Linked DNA regions of Macaca mulatta. The protein of the gene in region 2 interacts with the protein of the main gene of each other region in a pairwise test. Links are inferred from orthologs where the notes say so. Each region holds a gene or a part of one and is shown on either strand. Other genes may lie near its edges. The genes, in order: CSNK1G2, CERT1 and ACTL8.

Region 1 (7,944 bases), on a different chromosome or scaffold from region 2:
GGGCGGATCACGAGGTCAGGAGATCGAGACCATCCTGGCTAACACGGTGAAACCCCGTCTCTACTAAAACTACAGAAAATTAGCCGGGCGCGGTGGCGGGCGCCTGTAGTCCCAGCTACTCAGGAGGCTGAGGCAGGAGAATGGCGGGAACCCGGGAGGCGGAGCTTGCAGTGAGCCGAGACCATGCCACTGCACTTCAGCCTGGGCGACAGAGCGAGACTCTGTCTCAAAAAAAAAAAAAAAAAAAAATCAGTGTTTCCATTCCTGCTAGCGCAACATCCAGCCTGTGGCCCGTGGATCAATGAATCATTCATTGACTTGGAAATCAGGATGACTCCTTGACATGTCATCCATTCATTTATTTATGAACGACATGGTGCCGCTCTGTCACCCAGGCTGGAGTGCAGTGGCATGATCTCGGCTCACTGCATCCTCCGCCTCCCGGGTTGAAGCAATTGTCCTCCCTCAGCCTCCCAAGTAGCTCGGGCTATAGGCACGTGCCACCACGCCCAGCTAATTTTTGTATTTTTGTGTAGGGGGGTGGTTTCGCCATGTTCCCCAGGCTGGTCTTGAACTCCTGAGTTCAAAGCAGTCTGCCCACCTCAGCCTCCCAAAGTGCTGGGACTACAGGCATGAGCCACAGTGCCCGGCCAAGTCTCACTGTTTTTGAGGCAAGGTCTCACTGTGTCGCCCAGGCTGCAGTGGAGAAGCAGAATCACAGCTCACTGTAGCCTCTACCTCCCAGGCCCAAGCGATTCTCTCACCTCAGTCTCCTAAGTAGCTAGGACTACAGGTGTACACCACCATGCCTGGCTAATTTTGATTTTATTTTTGTAGAGATAGGGTCTCCCTGTGTTGCTTGCCCAGGCTGGTCTTGAACTCCTGGCCTCAAGCAGTCCACTTGGGTCAGCCTCCAAAAGTATTGGGGTTACAGGCAGTAGCCACCGCACCCGCCCACAACTCTCATTATTGAGAAATACATTTGTAAGACTCTGGGTGCTTGTAGGTGCCGTGGAGAGCAATCACTCTGATGGAGCTGGGGAAATTGAGTAAATTGAAACCCCCGGAAAGGATTTGCCATTCTAGAGACCGTGCAGGACACGTGTGATCCATGGGAGGAGGTCAAATGGCAGGATTCGTGGAAGTTTGGAGGAAGTTGATCCCAGGCCTGAAGGATCACTGTGAGGGTTCAGGACTTCCATGGAGGAGGAACTGCAGAGGTTTTAGAAGCAGGAAGACAGCTAGAATGAGAGGAACTTGGAGATGTGACTGCAGTGCTGCCATCTCACAAGAAACTTTCACACGTGAGGAGTTGCCTCTTTTTTTTTTGAGACGGAGTCTTGCTCTGTCACCCAGGCTGGAGTGCAGTGGCGCGATCTCGGCTCCCTGCCAGCTCTACCTCCCGGGTTCACGCCATTCTCCTGCCTCAGCCTCCCTAGAGCCGGGACTACAGGCGCCCGGCACCGCACCTGGCTAATTTTTTGTATTTTTAGTAGAGACGGAGTTTCACCATGTTGGTCAGCCAGGTCTCGATCTCCTGACCTCGTGATCTGCCCGCCTCGGCCTCCCGAAGTGCTGGGATTCCAGGCGTGAGCCACCGCGCCCAGCCGAGGCGTTGCCTCTTGAGGGTGAGCAGGGGAGTTGCTTCAGCTGCTCTGTAGTCCCAGTGAAGGTTCTGTGAACCTGGTGGAAATGAGGACAGAGGACTTGGAATAGCTCGGAACCTCAGTTGACGAAGCCGCGGCTGGGTCGAGAGGACCGACTGCAGTTTTGAAAGACGTTCTGCTGTGGGTGATAAATGCTATCAGACAGCATCACGCCCCACAAAGAAATCTTTGATGAAAGGAAGAGTCGGTTGCTGCGGCCGACTTTTTTGTGGTCATAGTTTAAGAAGTTGCCCTCGCCTCCGGCAGCCGCTGCCCCGATGAGTCAGCCGGCGTCCACGTCGAGGCAAGACCCTCCTCCAGGGAGATTAGGGCGCACTCACAGTCCGACGATCGTTAGCGTTGTTTAGCAGTAAAGTATTTTTATTTCTCTCTTATTTAGTTAAGATGGGGTCTCGCTGTATCACCCGGGCTGGAGTGCAGTGGTATGATCATGGCTCCCTACAGCCTCCGCCTCCTGGACTCAAGCGATCCTGCCGCCTCAGTCTCCCGACTAGCTGGCACCACAGGCTTGCGGCACCATGCCCCACTTAATTAAAGTGTGTCCGTTCACAGTGTACCACGGCATACCGTGGTACACTGTGAACGTAACTTTTGTGCGCACCAGGAAACGAAAACATCTGAGTGGCTATTGCCGCGTGGAACCCCAAGGCACGCTTGCGATCACCTCAGGGTGTTTCTCGTACCAGAACACGGTTGCCACGTGCAGTGGGGCAGTGCTTGTGACGCTGGTGCCTTTGTTTCTGTTGTGGCTTATTCAGCTGGGAGTTCCTGTCCTAACATTTTCGGCGATGGCTGTGCACCCGTGGCCCCTCCTCACCTGCCTCCCTCAGGCCCCGCCATACCCTTCTCAGCTCCGCTCTGCACCGAAGGGGCTGGGTGGGACCCACCCTGGCATTGTCACAGCCCCGAGTGGTGTCCAGCCTGCCCCGCTCCACCAGTGGCTGCTGGAGAACGACCCGAGCCTGGGTCAGGCCGTGGGGATTCCTGCAGCAGCTTACGGCTCGCTGGGGCCTCCTGCCCTCCGGTCCACTCTCCCCACTTTCAGTGTCCCCTGGCCGCCATGGGCAGGGGCAGCTCTGTGGCTTCTGTGTCCCTGCCTCAGGTCTGCCTGCTGTCATCTGCCTCCCTCCCTCTTTCTCAGAGCAGCCCTGGGCCTGGAGATGGGGACTGTTGTGTGGCCCTTCTGTGTCTGGGGGTGCGACTGACCCCTGGCTTCAGGATCCTCAGGGCCTCTCCCTGGGATGGGCAGGCATGCCCTCCCAGCAGTACGTTCTCCCACCTGTGCCACCCACCCACCCATCTTGCTTCACAGAAAGGCCCCTGAGCCCTACCCTGTTAGTCTCTAGGCAGCCACGCCGAGACCTCTGGCCTCTAATGTCATGTGGCACGTGCTTCCCAGCCGCGTTCCGGGCACGGGCAGTGCTTGTCGTGTCCCGGCCTTCAGAGCTCCTTCCAGCCCGGCAGCCCCCTGGCTGCGTCCTCTGTGGCCTCCGCCCCGTGTCCTCGCCGGCGCTCACCTGTGCCTCTGTTTCTCCACAGCTGTGAGCCGTGAGCTTTGAGGCGGTGGGACCTGTCAACAGAATGTCTCCTGCCCCCGAGAGCCACCCCAAGGCCACTGAGATGAGCACCGCGGCCTGGCCGGCCCCAGTGCCTGCGTCTCAGTAGCCGGGAGCCGCGGGCCCACGCCCGCCCGCCAGCCGCGGTGATGTTCTAGCCACAGAGGAGCCAAGACCTCAGGTTTCCAGAGACTTGGGATTTGCACGGCAGCAGAGCCACCGTGGAGAGGCCAGGGTATCACAAACTTATGGATTTTGACAAGAAAGGAGGGAAAGGGGAGACAGAGGAGGGCCGGAGAATGTCCAAGGCCGGCGGGGGCCGGAGCAGCCACGGCATCCGGAGCTCGGGGACCAGCTCGGGGGTCCTGATGGTGGGCCCCAACTTCCGCGTCGGCAAGAAGATCGGCTGCGGCAACTTCGGGGAGCTCCGCCTAGGTGAGGCCCTGCTCGTGGCTGATGGGGTGGGAGGCTGCTGGCAGGGCCGCACGGGGTCACCGGAGCCTCCAGTGGGGCCGCACGGGGTCACCAGAGCCTCCAGTGGGGCCACCCGGGTCACGGGATCCTCCGGCGGGGCCGCACGGGGTCACCGGAGCCTCCGGCGAGGCCACCCCGGGTCACTGGCATGTGTTGAATCATCTGTCCATCGTGGTATGAGTGTCACTTCCCTTCGAGGAAGCCCCATGGGGACAGTGGGTTTCTGGCCCTGTCACCTTTTCGGGAAACAATTCAGTTGGGAGGCAGGTGGCCCAGAGCAGGCCAGGCCATGCCGCAAGGAGTCCGAGTATTAAGTCATGAATGACTTCCACAGCCCATGTCCGTGCTGGGCAAAGCCCTGGCCTTAACCGCAGGCGCCAGCACGGAGCCAGCGTCGGGTGACTGGAGTGACTGTTTTGTGGTGATGACGCTGCTGTGTGCCACTCCCAGCTTCACCGTGTAAAACGCCGCACCAGGCCCACCTGGCTCCATGCCTTCTGCTCACACTGACCTCTCCCGGGTCGCGATCTGATTGCCCGGGCAGGCGTGAGGAGCAGGGCCGAGGACTGAGCCTGTTACTGGCCAGGGGCGCCTTCCCTTGGGTGGGGGTGCCTGAAGATGACCACCAGGCCTGGGGGAGCTCTGAGCACGTTTGGGGCCAGTGGCAGTTCGTGATTAGCTGTGCCAGGGAGCCGGATCATCCCCAGAAATACTAAATTCATTCCTGGTGCTGCTGGGTGTACGGCCAACGCCGAGCTCCTGCGGGAGGGCATTTGGCGTCTGTTGCTGGGGTTGTCCGGAAGACCCAAGTGCACCCCCGGTCAATGTCTGTCGTGGTGGGAGTCGGGGTCTCTGGGAAAGGGCGCAGGATGGGCAGGTCTGGGAGGCCACGGCAGTGGATCAGCCTCACGTGGGCACCCACGGCAGGCAGTACTGGAATCCGGCCCCTCGGCCCAATGAGGTTGTCAGATGAGGGAAACTGAGGCCCAGGCAGTGGGTATGTTGTGGTTGCACCTTCAAGAGCGGCTGCCCAGGGGTGCAGGAGCATGGGCTGTAGCCACCTGGACCCCAGGCATGTTTTGTGACCCCGCTTCCCACCTGCCTCAGTTTACCCACCTGTTAAATAGGGATGAATGGTAGTTGCCACTGTTCAGAAGTGGGTTCAGCAGGCAGTTACGTGGCAGAAGTGTGTGTCCTGAGTCAAGCAGCTTCTCCCAGGCGAGCGCAGCTGTCGGGGTCACTGTTGGCTGCCTCAGTGTTCCCATTGGCTGCACCCGGGGCCCCAGGAGGCCCGTTTGAGACCCCATCCCGAACCAGATTCCACCCCAGCCCTTGGGGAGGCTGCTGGGATTCCACTCTTTTGCGCAGAGGCTGGGCTTGGGCGCCACTGCCTGTCTGATGGCCTGTGGCTCGGGAGGCCCCGGGCTCCGTTTCTCAGCCAAGAGAGTGAGCTTTTCCCGACGGTAGCTGTGGCCTCCCAACCCTGTGTGTGTGCGCACATACTCAGACACACGTGCAGACACATGCAGATGTGTACACACATGCCCACACACGTACATGTGCACACTAAAGCACATGCACACAGGCACGCACAGCCACAACCATGTGCACACAGGCACATCTGCACACACACGCCTGGCACAGCCCTGTGACCTGCAGCCTGCGGGATATGGCTTTTGGGGACCCAGATGACTGTGTGGGTCCTGTCCTTGAGCGGTGGTTGCAGGCCGCTGAACAGTGCAGGTCCCCGTAGGCAGGTGAGAGGTGAGAGTGACATATGGGTGATGCCAGCTTGCCAGCCTTTTTTTTTTTTTTTTTTTTGAGACGGAGTCTTGCTCTGTCGCCCAGGCTGGAGTGCAGTGGCGCGATCTTGGCTCACTGCAAGCTCCGCCTCCCGGGTTCACGCCATTCTCCTGCCTCCCAAGTAGCTGGGACTACAGGTGCCCACCACCGCACCCGGCTAATTTTTTGTATTTTTAGTAGAGACGGGGTTTTGCTGTGTTAGCCAGGATGGTCTCGATCTCCTGACCTCATGATCTGCCCGCCTCAGCCTCCCAAAGTGCTGGGATTACAGGCGTGAGCCAACGCGCCTGGCCATTTTTTCTATTTTTAGTAGACATGGGGTTTCACCATGTTGGACAGGCTGGTCTCGAACGCCTGACCTCAGGTGATCCACCTGCCTTGGCCTCCGAAAGCGGTGTTACACACGTGAGCTACTGCACCTGGCCTGCTTTTTTTTTTGAGACAGAGTCTTGCTCTGCCCAGGCTGGAGTGCAATGGCGCAATCTCAGCTCACTGCAACCTCCACCTCCTAGGTTCAAGCAATTCTCCTGCCTCAGCTTCCCAAGTAGCTGGGATTACAGGTGCACCCCACCACACCCAACTAATTTTTTGTATTTTTTAGTAGAGACGGGGTTTCACCATGTTGGCCAGGCTGGTCTCAAACTCCTGACCTCAGGTGATCCGCCTACCTTGGCCTCTGAAAGTGCTGGGATTACAGGCGTGAACCACCATGCCTGGCTGACCCCGGAAGTTTTGGACTGGCCCAGCCTTGCTCTCATTCTTGGGTTCTGGTTCTGCGTGTGACGCAAGTGCTTGGCGCTGTCTGCAGGTCCCTCGGCCCTGGCTGTTTTCCCTAAGTCTCTATTCTCCTGGTGTCAGGCTGTGCGGCTGCTGCTGCTTGCTGTAAGTTTACTCTTTTTCTACAGCCTCCAACCCTGGAAGTCCATGCGGTGCATCTTTGATCGCTTAGTGGCATTTTTCAGTTCCGTATGATTCTCCATTCGATCTCAGCTGAGATTTCCCATGTGCACATTGATTTTGGCCATCTTTTCCTTTACATCTTTGAACATGTTTGTGCTGTTTCTTAGTCCATTTTGTGCTGCTATAACAGAATACCATAGACTGGGTCATTTTTTTTTAATTTTTTTATTTTATTTATTTATTTATTTTTTGAGATGGATTCTTGCTCTGTCGCCCAGGCTGGAGTGCAGTGGCCGGATCTCAGCTCACTGCAAGCTCTGCCTCCGGGTTTACGCCATTCTCCTGCCTCAGCCTCCCGAGTAGCTGGGACTACAGGCGCCTACCACCTCGCCCGGCTAGTTTTTTGTATTTTTAGTAGAGACGGGGTTTCACCGTATTAGCCAGGATGGTCTCGATCTCCTGACCTCGTGATCCGCCCGTCTCGGCCTCCCAAAGTGCTGGGATTACAGGCTTGAGCCAGCGCGCCCGGCCTTTTAAAATTTTTTTTGAGATGGAGTCTTGCTCTGTTGCCCAGGCTAGAGTGCAGTGGTACGATCTTGACTCACCACAACCTCCGCCTCCTGGGTTCAAGTGATTCTCCTGCCTCAGCCTCCCAAGTAGCTGGGATTACAGGCGCACACCACCATTCCCAGCTAATTTTTGTATTTTTAGTAGAGATGGGGTTTCACTGTGTTGGCCAGGCTGGTCTGGAACTCCTGACCTTGTGATCCGCCTGCCTCAGCCTCCCAAAGTGCTGGGATTACAGGTGTGAGCCACCGCGCCTGACTGGGTCATTTATAGTGAACAGAAATTGACAGACTCAGTGTTCTGGAGGCTGGCAGTCTTCAGATTGAGGATGGCGTCTGGCAAGGACCTTCTTGCTGTGTCATCCCATGGTGGAAGGCAGGAGGGCAAGGACCGGAGGGGGCTGGATTTGCCCTTTAATCAGGAGCCCGCTCCCATGCTGATGGCATTCATCCATCCACCAGGGCAGTGACCCAGCCCCAACAGTGCTGGATTGGGGACCCAGTTCCCAACACATGACCCTTGGGGGGGTGCATCAAAGACACAGCACTGTGTGGAATGACGTCTGTGCTGCTGCTGACTTTCTCGCTTGTCACGGTCACACCCCCTTCATTCACCTGTGGGACAGCCTCAGTGGGTGTGGCCGTGGTGTGTGCCATGAGGTGTGGAGGGTGCGGTCTCCCAGCTTGAGCGCTGCGTTTGTCCCTGTGGCTCACCTTGTTTCTGTCAGGGTTGGTTTCGGTGTTGCTGGGGCAGGGCCGAGGGTAAACATGAGTGACTCCAAGGCCAGGAAGCCCTGTGCCAAGCTGTGGACCTTTTGGGTTCTCAGCTGAAGTCAGAGAATCCAGGGAGGACCCCGCGCTCCGGCTGTTGGAGGTGTAGCATCCTCCCGCCTGTGTGTCCCCCGGAACCTCCTGAGCCTCTCTGGAGCTGTTCTCTGCCAGGCCCCATGGGGTCTCCTGCCCTCTGCCTGCACCGCG
Region 2 (7,981 bases):
GTCTCACTCTGTCACTCAGGATGGAGTGCAGTGGCACCATCTCAGCTCACTGCAACCTCCCGGGCTCAATCTTCCTTCCTCCTCTTCCCAAGTGATTGAGACTACAGGTGCGTGCCCCCACGTCTGGCTAACTTTTTGTAGTGATGAGGTTTCACTATGGTGCCAAGGCTGGTTTCAAACTCCTGGGCTCAAGGATCTGTTTTCCTTGGTCTCCCAAAGTGCTGGGACTACAGGTGAGCCACCATCCCTAGCCAGTTCTTAATTTTTCTAAGCCCCATCATTACAACCCCTCTCTGAGAACTCATCCAAGCTGACAATTTAACTCATTCTAGTGGCTCCTAATCACCACTTCCTTATTTCTAACCGCTTGTGATGTACCACCACTTAGACAAAGGGTTGAAATAAATGATAGTTACCAACAAAACTGAATTTACTTCTATAAGGTGTACTTCCTTCCTATTTTCCTACTTCTTCTTTCCTGCTACTTCTGCTCAGAGTCTGTGTATTAGATATACAAACAGATTAGTGTATACAGGATTAAACAGGCTCAACTACTCTACAACTCACGTGAAGAGAGTTTTGACAAGTTACTTTTGTAAGCTTCAGTTTCTTTGCCTGTTGATTGATGGCTGAATAAAATAATGAAAATGCCTAGCATAGTCACAGAAGATACTCCTAAGTGTTCCTTCTCAATATTTATAGCCCATCACCAAAACCTGCTTATCTTTCCTTCATAGTAAACCCTTAAATTTGCCTCCTCTTCTCATTTTCAACTATTCCAATCAAATTACCCAGTTCCTGTATTCCTTACAGGACTTAATCTTTTCTCTAGTATCTTCTGTGTTTTTCATAATTTACACAAGCTTATTTACTTACTAAGCATGTTTGCTTACTTTTCTTACATGTTGACCGTATTGAGTCTCCAGCTCCAAAACTTACATGGACAACTTCCCACTGACTGTCATACAAATTGTTTAGGGCATTCAAGACCCACCATGGATTAATCTTACCTCATTTATAATTACCACACTTCATAAGGCTAAATTTTGTGATAGTGGTCAAGTTACTTACTCTGTGTTCTTTTCTTTGTCAAACTCTGTCTCTCAGAGTTAAGTTTAAACAAGAATAGACTTAGAACAGTGCCTGGACATAGTATTTTCTGAATCTGAGGAAGAGTTATACATGGCTAATGAAGCTTAACCTTCAGCATTTCTCACTAGAACAGAACTCTTTCAATATTAGAGAAGGGACCCCAGCAATTATGTATCCGTAATTCAATATTATGTTCTTGTAAGAGGCTGAACAAACTATATCAGCTTCAGGACTCTTTTCTCAGTAAGCTGTTAGCTGTTATTATGACACCTGGAAGACAAGTTTTTTGTCTTTTCTCTGCTCTCATAATGTTCCCTCACTCTTCCCCATTTAACAAATACAGACAAGGCAATATGCTAGACATTGCAGGAGAACTGAATGTTACTGTGGCAAACAGGCCAGCAAACACAAACACAAGAGAAAAAAATATATATTTAGAATAAAACAAAATGCTATGGGAATTCAAGTGAAGGAGGTCTTGAATGATGGCAAAATACAAAAAGGCTTTACGGAAAGGACAGTATTTGACTTGGACTCTTAAGGATGGATAGAATTTCAAACAGTTTAGTGTGTGCAAAAACAGAAGGTAAACCATGAAGGATGGAGGAAATTCAGAAATTGAATGAGATTATTTTATCCAGCCTTAGTTGCTCTCAAGTCCTACTAAGGCATGCATCTTTTCCCCACCATGATCCATCACGATACTTGTTATAACCAGACAGAATTATTGTCTATCAAGTATTTTTGGAATCTATACACTTAAGTGATTTATAAGAAATATGCTTCATAGGTATTTCCATATATTTCAGATTACCATATGGAAAATACCCTTTGAACTGGTATATTTCTAATATAAATTTACCCAAGCCCATTCCAAATCCACCCCATTTTGGGGGACAAACGAAACAAATTGTACCGGGACTTATTTACATTATTCAATGGAAGGAAAAGAACAAAAGCCGAGTTCTGATCCTTGTTTAAATTACCAGGTGAATATGAAGAATTCAAAATATATAATTTACATTTAAAAACATGCACCATACTCAGTATGAGTATATATATTCAATTTAGAATACCCTTGATTAAAAAGTTTCCAGAAAACACTGTATATAACCATAAATTGGTAAATCTCAGGAAAATTTCCTTCATAGCTATTAGCAAGAATACCAAAAGCTGTATTCCTATTCATTCTACATAAGAAGCAACAGTCAAAATTTAAGTTATTCACCTTCCACAGAGGTGATCAAATGCATTTGTATGCATTTAAATATCGAGATTGGTCTTCCATTTTTTGATCTATAGTATACCTACTCCACATAAAGTAAAACTCAGAGCACTGGTGACTTTTTCCCCCAGTCACTCCATTCCCCCAACCCCCAAAAAAGTAATTATCAGTAGGTCAAAATTACAATTTGTTTTGTAAAATACTCAACACATCACATTACTAATATGGCAGTCAGCTTCCCATCTTATGAGCAGTGATGAAACTATCAAAATCACTGAGAAGCAAGTAACCCACTTCCTATTATCAACTGAAAATGTGTACCTACTACACAATGTGTTCAATAGAGATTCCTAAATTACAGGATACATTTAATGTAAAGAAATCCTGAGGAGCTTCTCGTTACTGAAAACCTTGCATTGAAATTTCAAGAATGATCACAGCATCAATATACAACTAATTTTTCGGCTATACAAATAAAAGTCAACACTTGCAATCCTTAGTTCTGACTACTCATGCCTTTTCTAGTTCCCTTCTCATTAGCTTTCTACAGACATTATAAAAGCATTATATTAAACAATTCCACAAATAATGTCCAAGTGATGTGCCAAAGTATGAATACTGGAAACAGGGTGATTTCTTAATAGCCAGTAGCTGCACATGACATAGTATCTTATGACCAGCTTGTTGAGGGACTGGCCCAGCTCCCCCTCTCCAAGTTAACTGCTAGCTCCAGCCATTTCTAAAAAAGTTTAACAGGAAGGGGGAGAGAAGTCCAAAAGGCTATGTGAATCTTCTTATAGCAAAAACTTAAAAAAAAAAAAAATCCCAACCACGTAATATCAAGAGATCACCCATCTGCAGTTCTATAATGGCTGCTTTCCTAAAATTTTGATACACGGATTTTAAAAAATACATAAAAGGTAAAACATCTTTTCCTTACCCTGGACCCCTTACCGCAAAAAGAGTTTATTATTAAATAATGCTCTTCTTCCTGGACTAAAGATCAGTCTCCTTTCTCACATGTTTCAAGTTACTATGAATATTTCCTGTACCCATCACGTGCCGATTCAATATCTCTATTCTGAACTAAGGTACAGGGTGAGGGAGAAAGTCCTCCACATTAATCTGTCTCACTACATCTAACCTGGCGAGTTCAACACCTCAAATTTCAACACCAAGCTGAGTCGCTCCGGCTTCTGTCGAAACAGCTGCGTCCGCAGTGCCCCCCAACCTACTCGGCTTAGCATCCTCAGACAGACCAACCTCTTTTAAGAGGTCCGACTTGAACCGCTCCCGTGCCCAGTCGTTCGGACACCGCTGAAGCCCAACCCGGATTCCTTACACCCGGGACAGCTGCCGCCCTAGGTCCCAAGGCACGGCACGCATCTGGTCTCCCAAACTGGATCCCCGGTTGATACACCCTTTCCCTGGTCCTCGGCTGCCCCCGACGAGCCCTCGGGCAGCAAGGACAGGCCCCCTATATCCCCGCCTCATCCCTAGTCGCCGCAGCAGTACTCAGCCTCGCACCCCGGCACGTTCCGCGCCTCCCGCCAGCCCCACCCCACCGCCTCAGCGGATTGCCTCGCGGCAGGTGAGTCTGGCCAGGGGTCCCCTGGCACCACCGGTTGCTCACCTTACTGAGGACCCCGCAGCGCTCCACAGGCGGCCCAGATTCCGTCTCTGGATCCTCCTCCGAGCCCGACGAGTTCCAGCTCTGATTATCCGACATGGAGGCGCGACAGCCGAGCAGGAGACCGGCCCCCGCTCCCTCAACTGCGCCGGAGGAGGCGCCCAGTCCTCGGGGTGAAGGGTCGGGGGATGGCGAAGCGAAGAGTGCCAGCTCCGCTGTGGGGGGGAGCAGGAGGAGGGACGAAGTCCGCTCGCCGCGCCGCCGCCGCGCCTGACACCGAGCGGAGCGGGGAAGGAGGACGAGCGGTGAAGGAAGCCTACCCTTCCAGCCGTCAGCCGCCGCCGCCGTCGCCGGGACCCCTGCGTTGCGCCCGGTGCTGCCACCCGAGCTTAGCCCCCTCGATGCCAATTTCAAATAGCGAAGGAAAAGGGAGAAGAAGGGAAGAGAAAATCCGGCCGCTGAGACCCGAGTACACTCACACCTCCGCTACCGCCGCCATCTTGCTGCCTGGCCCACTATTTACCCTCCCCTCCCCTGTCCTTTCCCCTCCCCTTCGTCCTCCCATTCTCCCCTCCTCCTCCCCGCCCCGTCCCCCTCCCGGCGTCTGACGCGACACGCCAAGCGTGCGGGATCCTCCTCCCGCACCCTACCTCCGGCTCTCCCGGATGACGAGGGGTAGAAAAGTAGGAGGAGCGCAGTAAGGAGAGGGCGGGATAGGGATGCCGCTGTGCTGCATTCTGGGAAGGGCGTTGGTTCGTCGCTCGCCCAGCCTCCTGGGAGTTGTAGTCGCGATCCTGAGGTAACGGGTGAGTATCCCGCGCGGGGATCGCTTGTCGCCTTGGGGACTTGTCAGTCGGTGGGTGGGCTTCGTTTGACAGTTGCGTGACCTGCCTCTTGGCCTCGCTTCTATCCTTGCCTTGTGTGTTTATGACGAACCCTCCGGGCTTGCGGGCCAGGACGTGAGAGAGCTTTCTGCTGAAGATGACGGGCCTGCGTTGCAGGGCTGCTTGTCGAAAGCCCGGGAGCGCGTAGCCGCTTCCGCCTCAACCACGGGATGGGGTTTTGTGAGCTCCTAGTGCCAAGGGGGTTTTCTTTCCACCAGACCACCGCTGTAAATCTCGAGGGTCTTACCCATTAGAAGTTAGAATTCACATTTGACGTTTAAAGGAAGAATTTCCTTAGTACCTTCTGACAAGCACGCACTTCGCATTTTTAGATTTCTAGAATTTTCTTTGTGGAAAGTAATTTTGAGGTTGTCAGAGAATAAATAACGTTAGAAAGGTTTTTAAAGTAAAACAAGAATGTCAGATGATAGCCTGGGATTTTCTCTTAGTTGTAAATGAATATCTTACTGAGAACCACGTTAACCATGCCTGCCCCTCAAAGATAGGAAAGTTTGGATATATAGAAACTTTCTCGTATTAGAAATACGAGATTAGGGGATTAGGCAATAGGTGGCTATTTTTAAGACTAGGGTTGAATTAGCAGAAAGACCAAAAGAAGATCTAACAGCTCTTGTCAGTTGTCAAGGATAACTTTGATGGTGAGACCTTTGACTTTGTAGCTTCAGTAATTTCCTCTCGTTAGCTATTTTAATATAGTCGAGTTCCTGATAATTGCCAAGAGTAAAATTTGTTATTAAGCCTTAGAAAGAATACCTTTTTTACTACAAGGATGGGACAATAGGAGCGAAATTTCGAGTCTAAGGGAAAACGCTAGCCGAGTGCCGTGGCTCACGCCTGTAATCCCAGCACTTTGGGAGGCCGAGTTGGGCGGATCACCTGAGGCCGGGAGTTTGAGACCACCCCGTCTCTACTAAAAATACAAAGATTAGCCGAGCAGGGTGGCGGGTGCCTGTAATTCCAGCTCTTTATATCCTGGTTTCAAATCTAGGCTTGATGACCTTTTCCCATATCCCAGTTTCCTATTTTTTACTTCCTCAATGGGGGATTAATTACGATTCTAAATGTTTGGTAGCATGAAGCTAGGTTATCTCTATCGTGGCAGTGGATATTTAAGTAGGCATTGCCAATATGTATCTTGCTTTCTTTTACTTCCTTTTCTGACCATCCACACTCCATTTATATTGATGAATTCTTTTACTAATGTCAATTATTACTGTATTATGCTCATACTGCCATGTCTTATTCTGCAGCTTTGATCCTTAAGGTGACTTAGCATATCTGTCTAAGACTCCTTTATCTGTTGATTTTTACCATTTAAGGTTCCAAAGGCAGCTGTATTTTTGGAAAAGTGGGAGGGAAGAGGTAGATGGGGGTACTCATTGATACCTTAATGCACTTCACAGCTACTTGAGAATATGTCAGATCCCACAAAAAGTTCTAACATTCGAGAATAAGACAGTGATTTCAGAAATGGAATTTCAAAGGGTGTGTAGGCCACCCTTTTTATTCTGTTTCCTGTTGTACAAATGAGAGCCAGGCGAGGAATGTTTCAAGGAGAAATATTCTTACTATTCAATGAAATTGAAAAATATATTCCCTTATCTTTTACTCATATCTGTTTGGTTTATGGGATAAAAACTTGTTAGGGTAGTTGGTATTTCATAGGCTTCACTATAACATTGAAAAACCTTTTAGTCTAAAAATCACACAGTACAGTACACTGATGAACAGTATTAGTGCCCACTCTTGGCATGTACACATGTTCTTTCTTTCGTTTTTATTTTGCTTAGCTTTTGAATTGCTTTTCCTGTTAGATTGAGAAATTATTTTATTAATATTTTAAAGGCATACTATATAAAGCAGTGTGGTGGTATCTTATGTATCAGTAGAATCCTCATGATAGTTATTTTGTAAACGTGTTTTGCTTCTTGTTTTTTTCTAACCCTTTTATTGTTTCACTTCTATAATTTCAAATCTTTTTCTTCTTAGTCAAATAAGTTGAAAAAATATTTCTATAGAGCATACATGTTGCTATGGTGATAGCTTATGAAAATATAGTTTATCCCTGTTTAAGATCTTTATTAAGATCTTGCTATATGATCATCTGAGATACTATAAAAGTAAAATATAAACCATTTCTGTAGAGTCATTGTTTTCTAGCATTTTACTGTCTAGGTATTCTGACAATAATTATGTGTAGAAAGTGAATAAAGATTTTAAATTGCCTGTGACGTAGGAGGTTTTCAGTAAATAATAACCGATGAATGAAATAAGTTTAGCCTGGTTGATAATTGAAGGGAAGTTGTAGGAACTGCCATTAACAGGGCCCAAGAAAAAAATCACTAACGTGATTAAAATCAGTCAGAGACCAAAGAATCAAATAACATCATAGCTTTTTGTAAGTAGCAAGTGTCATTTGCTAAAGGCCTACAAAATGTCAAACATTGTTTTAGGTTCATTTGATTTATTCACTCGTCACAAAAATCCTGCAAGGTAGACATTATTCTTATTTTACACATGAGGAAATTAACATTCAAAGAAGTTAAGTAAATTGCCCAGATCATCGCTAGTGAATAGTCTAGTCCAGGCTTTGGACCTTAGACGCTTGTAATACATAACTTTTAATACGTATAGAATTGATTTTAGATTGTCACTCAGGCATAATGGTACATACCTGTAGTCCTAGCTGCTCAGGGTGCTGAGGCGACAGGCTAGCTTGACCCCAGAGGTTTGAGGCTATAGTGAGCTGTGATCGTGCTAGTGTACTCCAGTGTAGGTGACAAAGTGAGACCCTGTCTCAAAAAAAAAAAAAAAAAAATTCCAAAACACTATTATCCCAAATTATTTTAAATGATTAAACATTTGAGAATCTGTCAGAGCCAGATAGATTACGTTCTAGGTGTGTTACATAGTTTTTCTTTAGTTTAACGGTTTTCTTAAAAGAAAATTCACCCACATACATTTTTAAGGTACAATAACATAAGAGCCAGTTTACAATTCTTTTCTTGCTAGTGTGTACTAGCAAGTATATGTTCCAATTACCCATAAATAATTTAAATGATCTCTGGAGCCTCTTGCAACTATCACCTTGTCTTGTGTTGCTGCTAAAAGGAATAACGTGTTGATTTT
Region 3 (7,973 bases), on a different chromosome or scaffold from region 2:
AGGCACTGCACAATCACATCGCAAAAGCAGGGATGCCTAATTCTCTAACAGGGAAGCAGGAAGAACAGGCCACAATAATCCAATCACCCACAGTGTGGGCTACAGACTTATGCTAATAATATTGTACTGCATTCTATCAAACCTAAGCTGCAAGACACACCATTAATTTATGTACCACTAAGAAAGAAAAGTGGCTGTGAACTAAAGTATGGCATGATGCTTTCTTAGCCCATCATATTTTTATTTTATTCTTACCGAAAGAGCTATTTGATGCTGAGGCATGGAAGTGTCAACAATGGGAACAGCTGGAACCAGGTTTGCTCTTGCAGAGACAATGACGACTGTCACAACTGTCACTGTCCAAGGAGATTATGAGATCCATCGGTTGTAAGACACATTTTGATTTCAAGGATGTGAAAATGTGAAAATGTGTGTCTTAGAACGGATGAAATTTGTCATTTACCGAGAGTAAGTGGTTGTTCTGCGGTGGACGCTGCTAAAAGTTCTATGTGGATAAGCTCATTTGTACCTCAAGACAACCCAAGAAGAAAATATTATTATCCCCATTTCAAAGATGAGTAGAGCAAGATTCAGAGTGATCATGAGGTGGGAGGCAGGTCTTGACTCCGGATGTGGGGCTTGGACACTGGACCAAATGGAGGACTAGCTAAAACAGACGGGGCAAAGCAGCTTTCTATAAGGCACATCCACCAGTAGGCCATGTCAGTTTACCATTGCCATGGCAACATGCAGGAGTTACCACCCCTTTCCATGGCAATGATCTCACAACCCAAAAGTTACTACCCCTTTCCTAGCAATTACTGTATAAACCATCACTTAATCTCCATGTAATTAAACATGGGTATAAATATGACTGAGACTGCCCTGAGCTGCTGCTCTGCCTATGGGTAGCCCTGCTCTGCAGGAGCAGTCAAAGGCTGGAGCTGTAACACTGGCCCTTAAATAAAATTCTGCTTTCTTCTACCCTTTCTTCTCACCCTTGAATGTTTTCCTGGAGGAAGCCAAGAACCCTCATGGGCCAAGCTCTGCTTTGGGGCTTGCCTGCCCTGCATCAATCAGTTGCCCTGCCCAAGACCCATGGTTAGTAAGTGGAAGAGCTGAGATTTGAACCTAGGACGGTCTGACTTCTAAGACAAAGTGATAAAGAGTGTGGGCCCTGGGACAAACTATACTTCAGTTTCTTCATCTGTAAAATGGGGACGAGAGGAGTAATTACCACATAGATTATTGTCATATGAGAGTTCCGAAAAGAGCGTCAGGCACAGAGCACTCAAGACATGCTGGGTTCTCTGGTAGAACCAGAGATTTTTGCCTCTCTGAAGCTAACATTAGTGTAATAAAAACTGCAACTGGACTAAGAGGAGAGGACTATGGGAGCCCAGAAAAGCAGGCCAATAGATTAGTAATTTGGGGGAAACATCAGAAATTTGATGTGAGAAGAGCAAAAAGAATGTGTGATTCATGTGTGCATTTATTTATTCAAGAATATTTGTTTACCCACTGTGTTAGCCTGTTCTCATGCTGCTAATAAAGACATACTCAGAGCTGTGTAATTTATAAAGGAAAGACGTTTAATGGACTCAGTTCCACACGGCTGGGGAGGCCTCACAATCAAGTTGGAAGGCAAAGGAAAGTCATGTCTTACATGGCAGAAGGCAAAAAGCTTGTGCAGGGGAACTCCCATTTGTAAAACCATCAGATCTCATGAGACTTATGATCATGAGAGCACTATGGGGGAAACAGTCCCCATGATTCAATGATCTCCACCTGGCCCCATCCTGGACACTTGCGGATTATTAAAATTCAATGTGAGATTTGGGTGGGGACACAAAGCCAAACCATATCACCCACTGCGTACAGGTAGTACACAGTGACTGGATTTGAAATCAAGTTTGGGGGCTAATTTTAAAAAACTGAGGTATAATTTATCTGCAATGCAACACACAGATCTTAGTGTTCAGTATGAATTTTCACAAATATATACAGCACCCCAATTGCAATAGAGAGTACTTCCATTGCCCTAGAAAATTCTATTGTGCCCCCTTCCAGCAAAATAAACCCATCTCCACCTGTATTTTTTTTTTTTAAATTTTTGTCACTGTAGGTTGCTTTGCCTGTTCTTGAACTTCATATTGTGAACAAATGTGAACCTGAAAGTGCCAGATCTTCAAGATGGATCCTGAGTGGCTAAGTGGGCCAGGCTCCGTGGTTCTTGCCTGTAATCCCAGCACTTCCGGAGGCCAAGGTGGTGGGATCACTTGAGCCCCTGAGTTTAAGACCAGACTGGGCAACATAGCAAGACCCTGTTCTCTACAAAAGAAATAAATACTACCCCCCGCCCCCAAATCAGAATGGCTAAGTGGGCCTAAATTTAAAATAGAGTGAAGCAGCCACTTGCTGACTAGGGTTCACATAAGTACCCTGATTTCTCCCGAAAACCGGTACCTTTTTATCTTTGGTACTTTCCCAGCTTACCTGAACCAACCAATCAGGGCTCAAGTATATCAACCAATCAGGGCCTGGCTGTATCAACCAATCAGAGCTCAGCTGTATTGACCAATCAGAACTAAGCAAGTTTCAATCCTTCATTGGCACTACTTGATCTGATTGGGAACCTGGGCAGGAACTTTTGCTGTAAAACCTGATCCTTTCCCTCATTCTTAGGAACTCCCCTTCATTTTCCAGTGGAGGGTGCATCTCCAAGTTTGCAAACTGTTTTCTGTACTAAAGTCTCTTTCCTCCAAATTCCTTTTCAGATAACTTGTGCATCATATAAGTGGAAACTTACAGATTGTGCTGCTTTGTGTCTGGTTTCTTTTACTCAGCATAATATGTATATGATTAATGCATGTTGTTTTATGTGTCAGTAGTTATTTTCTTTTTCACTGCTGATATTTCACTGTTGCTGGTTATCAAATTATTGCCTCTCTGCTCCACATTCACCCTTCTTGCCTGCTTGGTGAAAATGGATCTGGGCCCTTTAAATGTTCTCCCTGGCCAGCGGGCATGCTGGGCTTTGCCAGTAGAGGGCGCTGGGGAGCCCTAGCAGCGGGGAGGTTCCACTTCCTGGTTGCCACGTGCTCACAGGGTAGGCTCCGGCACCACGTGCAGCCGCTAGTGCTGGCGCTCGCAGTGCACGGGGGAGGTCGGCAGCTCCCACAGCAGCGTTTTTGAGTAGTTTTGCAGTGAGTGCCTCTTGTGAGACACTGCTTCTGAGAGCAGCTTTTGTGGCATCTTACAGGGCAGATTTCTGGTGAGTTCTACAGGTTGAATTTCTAATAACTTTGGCTGGCTGTGGCCCCTGTTTTTTTTTTTTTCTTCCCATGGCACAGATATGCCCTCTTAAGCAAGGCCTGGATGTCAGCCCCCAAGGGTGTGTGTGTGGGACACTTCTTTGTGGGGGGCAGGGGGCGGTGACAGGCTCTACCTAGATTTCAGCTTTTGGAGGAGACTCTTCCATAGCGGCTGTACCTCAGCCACATGTGTGGGGCTGAGGGTCCTTCCTTGGGGGTCCTAGCTTAGCCTCTTGTTGGGGCACCTCCTGAAGGGGTTTATCTTAACCTGGTGGAAGACCCCTTCCCTGGGGTAAAGGGCTCTTTTTGGGTTGCTATCTCTATGTCAGGGTCTCTTTTTGGGGCTCTATTTCAGTCCTGGGGTGGGGGGCTGTTCCTCAACCCTGGGAGGGCTTTTTTTTTTTGAGGACATTGTCTCTGCCACAGGGGCAGGAGGGTGTTTCTTGGGGACTCTACTACAGCCCTCAGGGGTTTTTTCCTTGTGGACTTTATTTCAGCCCTGGGAGGGAACTCTTCCTTGGGGGATCAATGACAGCCCTGGGTGGCCAGGCGGGGGGCCCTTCCTTGGTAGCTCTGGGAACTCATCTTTGGGGCTCTACCTTATCCCTTGAATAGGGGTTCTTCCCAGGAGCTGTGGCTCAGCCTTGGGGGCCTCTTCTTGGGAACTTTTTTTTAACCTCTGGTGGGGGACTCATCTTTGGGGAACCTATGAAAGCCCCCAAGGGCTCTTTCTTGGGGACTCTATCTTGGCCTTGAGGGGTTCCTCCTTGAGGGCTTTATCCAGCTCTGGTGTGGGGGATTCTTAGCAGGGGGTTATCACAGCTCTGGGTGGGGTCTGGTCCTCAGAGGCTCCATCTCAGCTCTGTGGGTTGTGGTCGCTCTTTGTGTCTGCTGCTTCTGTATTAATTATCATTCTTTTTACTCCTTATAGTCAATTTCTTGTTAATTCAGTCCTCGGTTATAAGTTAATAATTCTTCATATGAAACTTTCCCTATAAAAATCACTGTATAGTTTCCTTAACTGTACCCAAACTGATACAGAATTGGTGTCAGGAATAGGTATCAGGAGATGGACCCACAGAGGTACCATTTGGGGATTGGTTTTCTGGTGATTTTGGGCTTGAGTGAAAAGTTCCTTGCCAATGGGAAATGGGGCGCTAGTTACTCAAGACATGTGGTGACATTAAAATTAATCAGTCTATCCCTTGTGGTTGATTAAGACAAAATGCCACCTGAGGCACTTCCCTTGGGAGCCAGAGTGATGCTGCACTTGACTGTGTGACCATAATGAGGACTGTGAGAACTGTGGAGTGGGATGGATCCTTTTGAGGGCTTCTGTCTTCGAGGAACCAGATACAATGCTCTATTTAAAACATGTATAGGCAGGCCGGGCACAGGCATGGTGGCTCAGGCCTTTAATCCCAACACTTTGGGAGGCTGAGGCAGGCAGACTGCTTCAGCCCAGGGGTTTGAGGCTGCAGTAAGCTACGATTGCACCACTGCACTCTAGCCAGGTGACAGAGCAAGACCCTATCTCTAAAAAAATAATAATATCATAAAAATTTGACAAATGTGTAGATAATGACATAGAAAATGACAAGCCCAGGTCCATTAACTCTCTCCTTGAGCCACAGTCTGAGAATCAGACAGCTTCTATGGCAGCCCTTAAGGAAGTTCTTATTTCTTGCAGCCACAGGGCTGATACTGCCGAAAATCAAACAACAAATTTAATTGTGCTGGTTGCTGAATTATGACAACAGTTGGAATCACATCTGGACAAATTAGGGCATGAATTGTGAAAGAATGGGATCCTGAAACATGGAGTGGGGACATTTGTTGAACTGTGATGAAACCAACAACCTAAACTACAAGTCACTCTGAGCCCACCACGTCCCTCAGCTTATCAAGTGGAAATACCTTGCCCTCCTCAGTGCATGAGGAGACTGGTCTTCCTCTGTTAAGAAACCCTGTGATAATCTCGGCTGGGGCAGATGTCTTGAAAGGCGATGCCCATTCTCAAGACTCACCACAGCCACCTGCTGTTGTCACTAGACCCTAGCTGTGGTCAAATCTCAGCATGTTCCATGGTGATGGGTACAGACTGACCTAGGAGGAAACAGAAAAAGAATGACAAGACTGGTGACACACATGGGAGTGGATTCTAAGGATTTTAGATCCAGAAAGGCAGAATGTAACCCTAGATTGGGCTGAATGCCTTAATAGGGGCACACTCATTAGAGGTTCTGAATTTGGCTGTTAGCTTCTGCAGCTGGAGGTGGCTCTAGCAACTTGGTTGGTTGACTGAAACTTGGACTTGACAGTAACCTGCAGTTAATGAAGGTTGTGATGTCATGATGTGGAGGAGGGAATCCAAAGGCTCGGGGAGACCGCAATGTTGGACTGCATGTATCATGTCTAATCTGCACTCTCCTGCTGCCACCACCTATGTTCCACAAGAAGGACCCAAAGACAGAGACATAGAGAGATCCATTAGTGAGGGAGCCCCTTTGTCCTTGAAATGCATGGCGGCTGCTCTCTTTTGTAGGCCACTGTGAATATAGAGGCTGCCTCCATTGAGTTGGGCTCCCTGATTTCAGTGGGGATAAGGGGGTCCTGAAGTAGCAGAGACCAAGGGGCAGCACTTTACTGTCAAGGACAAGGTAGGCACACACTGGAAAGGGTAGCAGGAATGTATGGGCTGGCAGAATGCCTTTGCCCATCGGGATTTTTAGTGGTGGTGAATTGATCAGAGTGTTTCTGGGAATGAAATAAGTGGGCAGCCTACTAGAATATTATTTCATGTATTTTTATATGTGATAGAAAGTTCTAGACCCAGTAGCCAAAACATGGCAATCGACAGTCATGGCTTCTCATCCAGTTTCCAGACCCTGAGTTAATTCACAGACCCAGAATCCCTGGGTGGCCGGGTCACCTTGAGGAGGGAGCCTGCATCTGCCATAAATACTTATTGTAAATCTTCCTCCAAACCTTCCTCCAAAGGGACCTGTGACCATTTACCAGAATAATGGGGAAATGGACATACCCAGACAGTTCTGGAGTTACTTGACACTCACTCTGAACTGATGCTGGTTCCTGGGGATCTAAAATGCCACTCTGGTTCATAAGTCAAAGTGGGGCTTGTGATGGTCAGGGATAGAGTCTTAGCTCTAGTCTGACTCACAGTAGATTTGCTTGGTCCATGCCCACCCTGAAGTTATTTTCTGAGCTCCTGAATAAACAGTTAAGTAAGCACACTTGGTGATTATCCATTTTCTTCTCTCTTCTTCCCATTTTTGTTTTATATGGAAGTTTTTGGAAGTCAACTTTGTAGTATTTAGGTGACAGAATGTTCCATGGAACTGTGATTGGTATTTAAGTCATAATAAATATAGTCCACGATGACTCCTGGGCCTATTAGTTTCCTTGTTTTGGGGAGTGAGAACTTATAAGAATGATAACTGTATCTTCTTAGATAGAAATACACCGTTGTGTTGTTATACGGGACTTCAGTGGTGTGCAGGAGGATTCCTATGGAAGGCAAGTAGTCAAAGAGATGGCCTTTTCTGGGTATCAATTACTGCTTTTCAGTGTCCAATCACCCTTCTTGCCTGCCTGGTGAAAATGGATCTGGGCCCTTTAAATTTTCTCCCTGTCCAGGCAGCAAGCTGGGCTTTGCCAGTAGAGGGCGCTGGGGAGCCTCTGCAGCAGGGACCTTCTGCTTCCTGGTTGCCCCCTGCTCACAGGGCCTGCTCCTGCAGCACGTGCAGCTGCTCAGTGCTGGCTGCTGTTTTGCTCAGCAGAGGCCAGCAGCACTTTCTTTTAGGCAGTTTTGTAGTGGGTGCCTCTGGTGAGACACGTGTAAGCAGCTTTTGTGGCACCCTGTGGGGCAGATTTCTGGTAAGTTCTACAGGTTGGCTTTCTTGCAAGTTCTGCTGGTGTGCTCTAGACCAACTCTTTTTTCCCCTATGTAGGGAGGCACAGCCATACCGTCTTCAGCAAGGCCTGGATATCAGCCCTCAGGGGTGTTTGTGGGAGGATGCTTGTTTCTGGGTGGAGGCTCCTCCTTGGGCATTTTCTCAGCCCAAGTTGAGGAGCTGTTATTCAGGGGCTCTGCCATAGCACTGGAGTAGAAGCCTCTTCCTTGAGGGCTGGACGTCAGCCCTGGAGAAGCTGCGTTTGCATGATACTCTAGCTCAGCACTGGGTGGGGTGGGGGACTCTTGCCTCTGAGGGTCTCTTTCAGCCCTGGGGGGCAGCAGCTGCTCCTTTTGTCTCCTAAACCTATATTCTTCAGAGTTCCCTTTCCTTCTTTCTAGCCAATTTCTTATTAATTCCATCTCCCATTATGGTTAATAATCCTTTATATGAAACTTACCTATTCAAATGACTGCCCAGCTTCCCCCTCCTGATAGGATGCAGAGTGATGCCCGTCGTACACACTGGCCACAGTTTGTCCACGGTTTTCCAATTTGGGGCTATTATGAATAATCTACGACGTGTATTCTTGAGTGGACGGGCTTTTTTGTGTGATACGTTTTCGTATCTCTTGGATAAATACCTTGAATGGGGTTCCTTTGGGAAGGCCAGACCACAGGGCTTTCACTTGGTCTAGAGGGTGCCGAGGAGCTGCTGGAAGTTTTGTGGGTCTGTTTTGTTTTAA

The links.
Region 1: the proteins of CERT1 (region 2) and CSNK1G2 interact in binary tests that used the Homo sapiens proteins (3 or more experiments, as listed by UniProt). The two-hybrid records come from large-scale screens. The link is inferred for Macaca mulatta from reciprocal best matches to the Homo sapiens genes CERT1 and CSNK1G2.
Region 3: the proteins of CERT1 (region 2) and ACTL8 interact in binary tests that used the Homo sapiens proteins (3 or more experiments, as listed by UniProt). The two-hybrid records come from large-scale screens. The link is inferred for Macaca mulatta from reciprocal best matches to the Homo sapiens genes CERT1 and ACTL8.

What each region holds. Positions count from the first base shown.
Region 1 is NC_133424.1:2,686,548-2,694,491, forward strand, and holds the start of CSNK1G2 (casein kinase I), read left to right. Parts: upstream 1-3,226; 5' UTR 3,227-3,471; coding exon 3,472-3,658; exon of another isoform or gene 3,659-3,659; intron 3,660-7,944. Other genes in the region: uncharacterized protein LOC144336971, read left to right, coding at 3,207-3,226. UniProt on the Homo sapiens protein: Serine/threonine-protein kinase. Casein kinases are operationally defined by their preferential utilization of acidic proteins such as caseins as substrates. It can phosphorylate a large number of proteins. Participates in Wnt signaling.
Region 2 is NC_133411.1:81,910,441-81,918,421, forward strand, and holds the start of CERT1 (ceramide transfer protein), read right to left. Parts: upstream 4,469-7,981; 5' UTR 4,047-4,468; coding exon 3,951-4,046; intron 1-3,950. UniProt on the Homo sapiens protein: Shelters ceramides and diacylglycerol lipids inside its START domain and mediates the intracellular trafficking of ceramides and diacylglycerol lipids in a non-vesicular manner.
Region 3 is NC_133406.1:223,237,611-223,245,583, reverse strand, and holds the start of ACTL8 (actin-like protein 8), read left to right. Parts: upstream 1-3,104; 5' UTR 3,105-3,274; intron 3,275-7,973.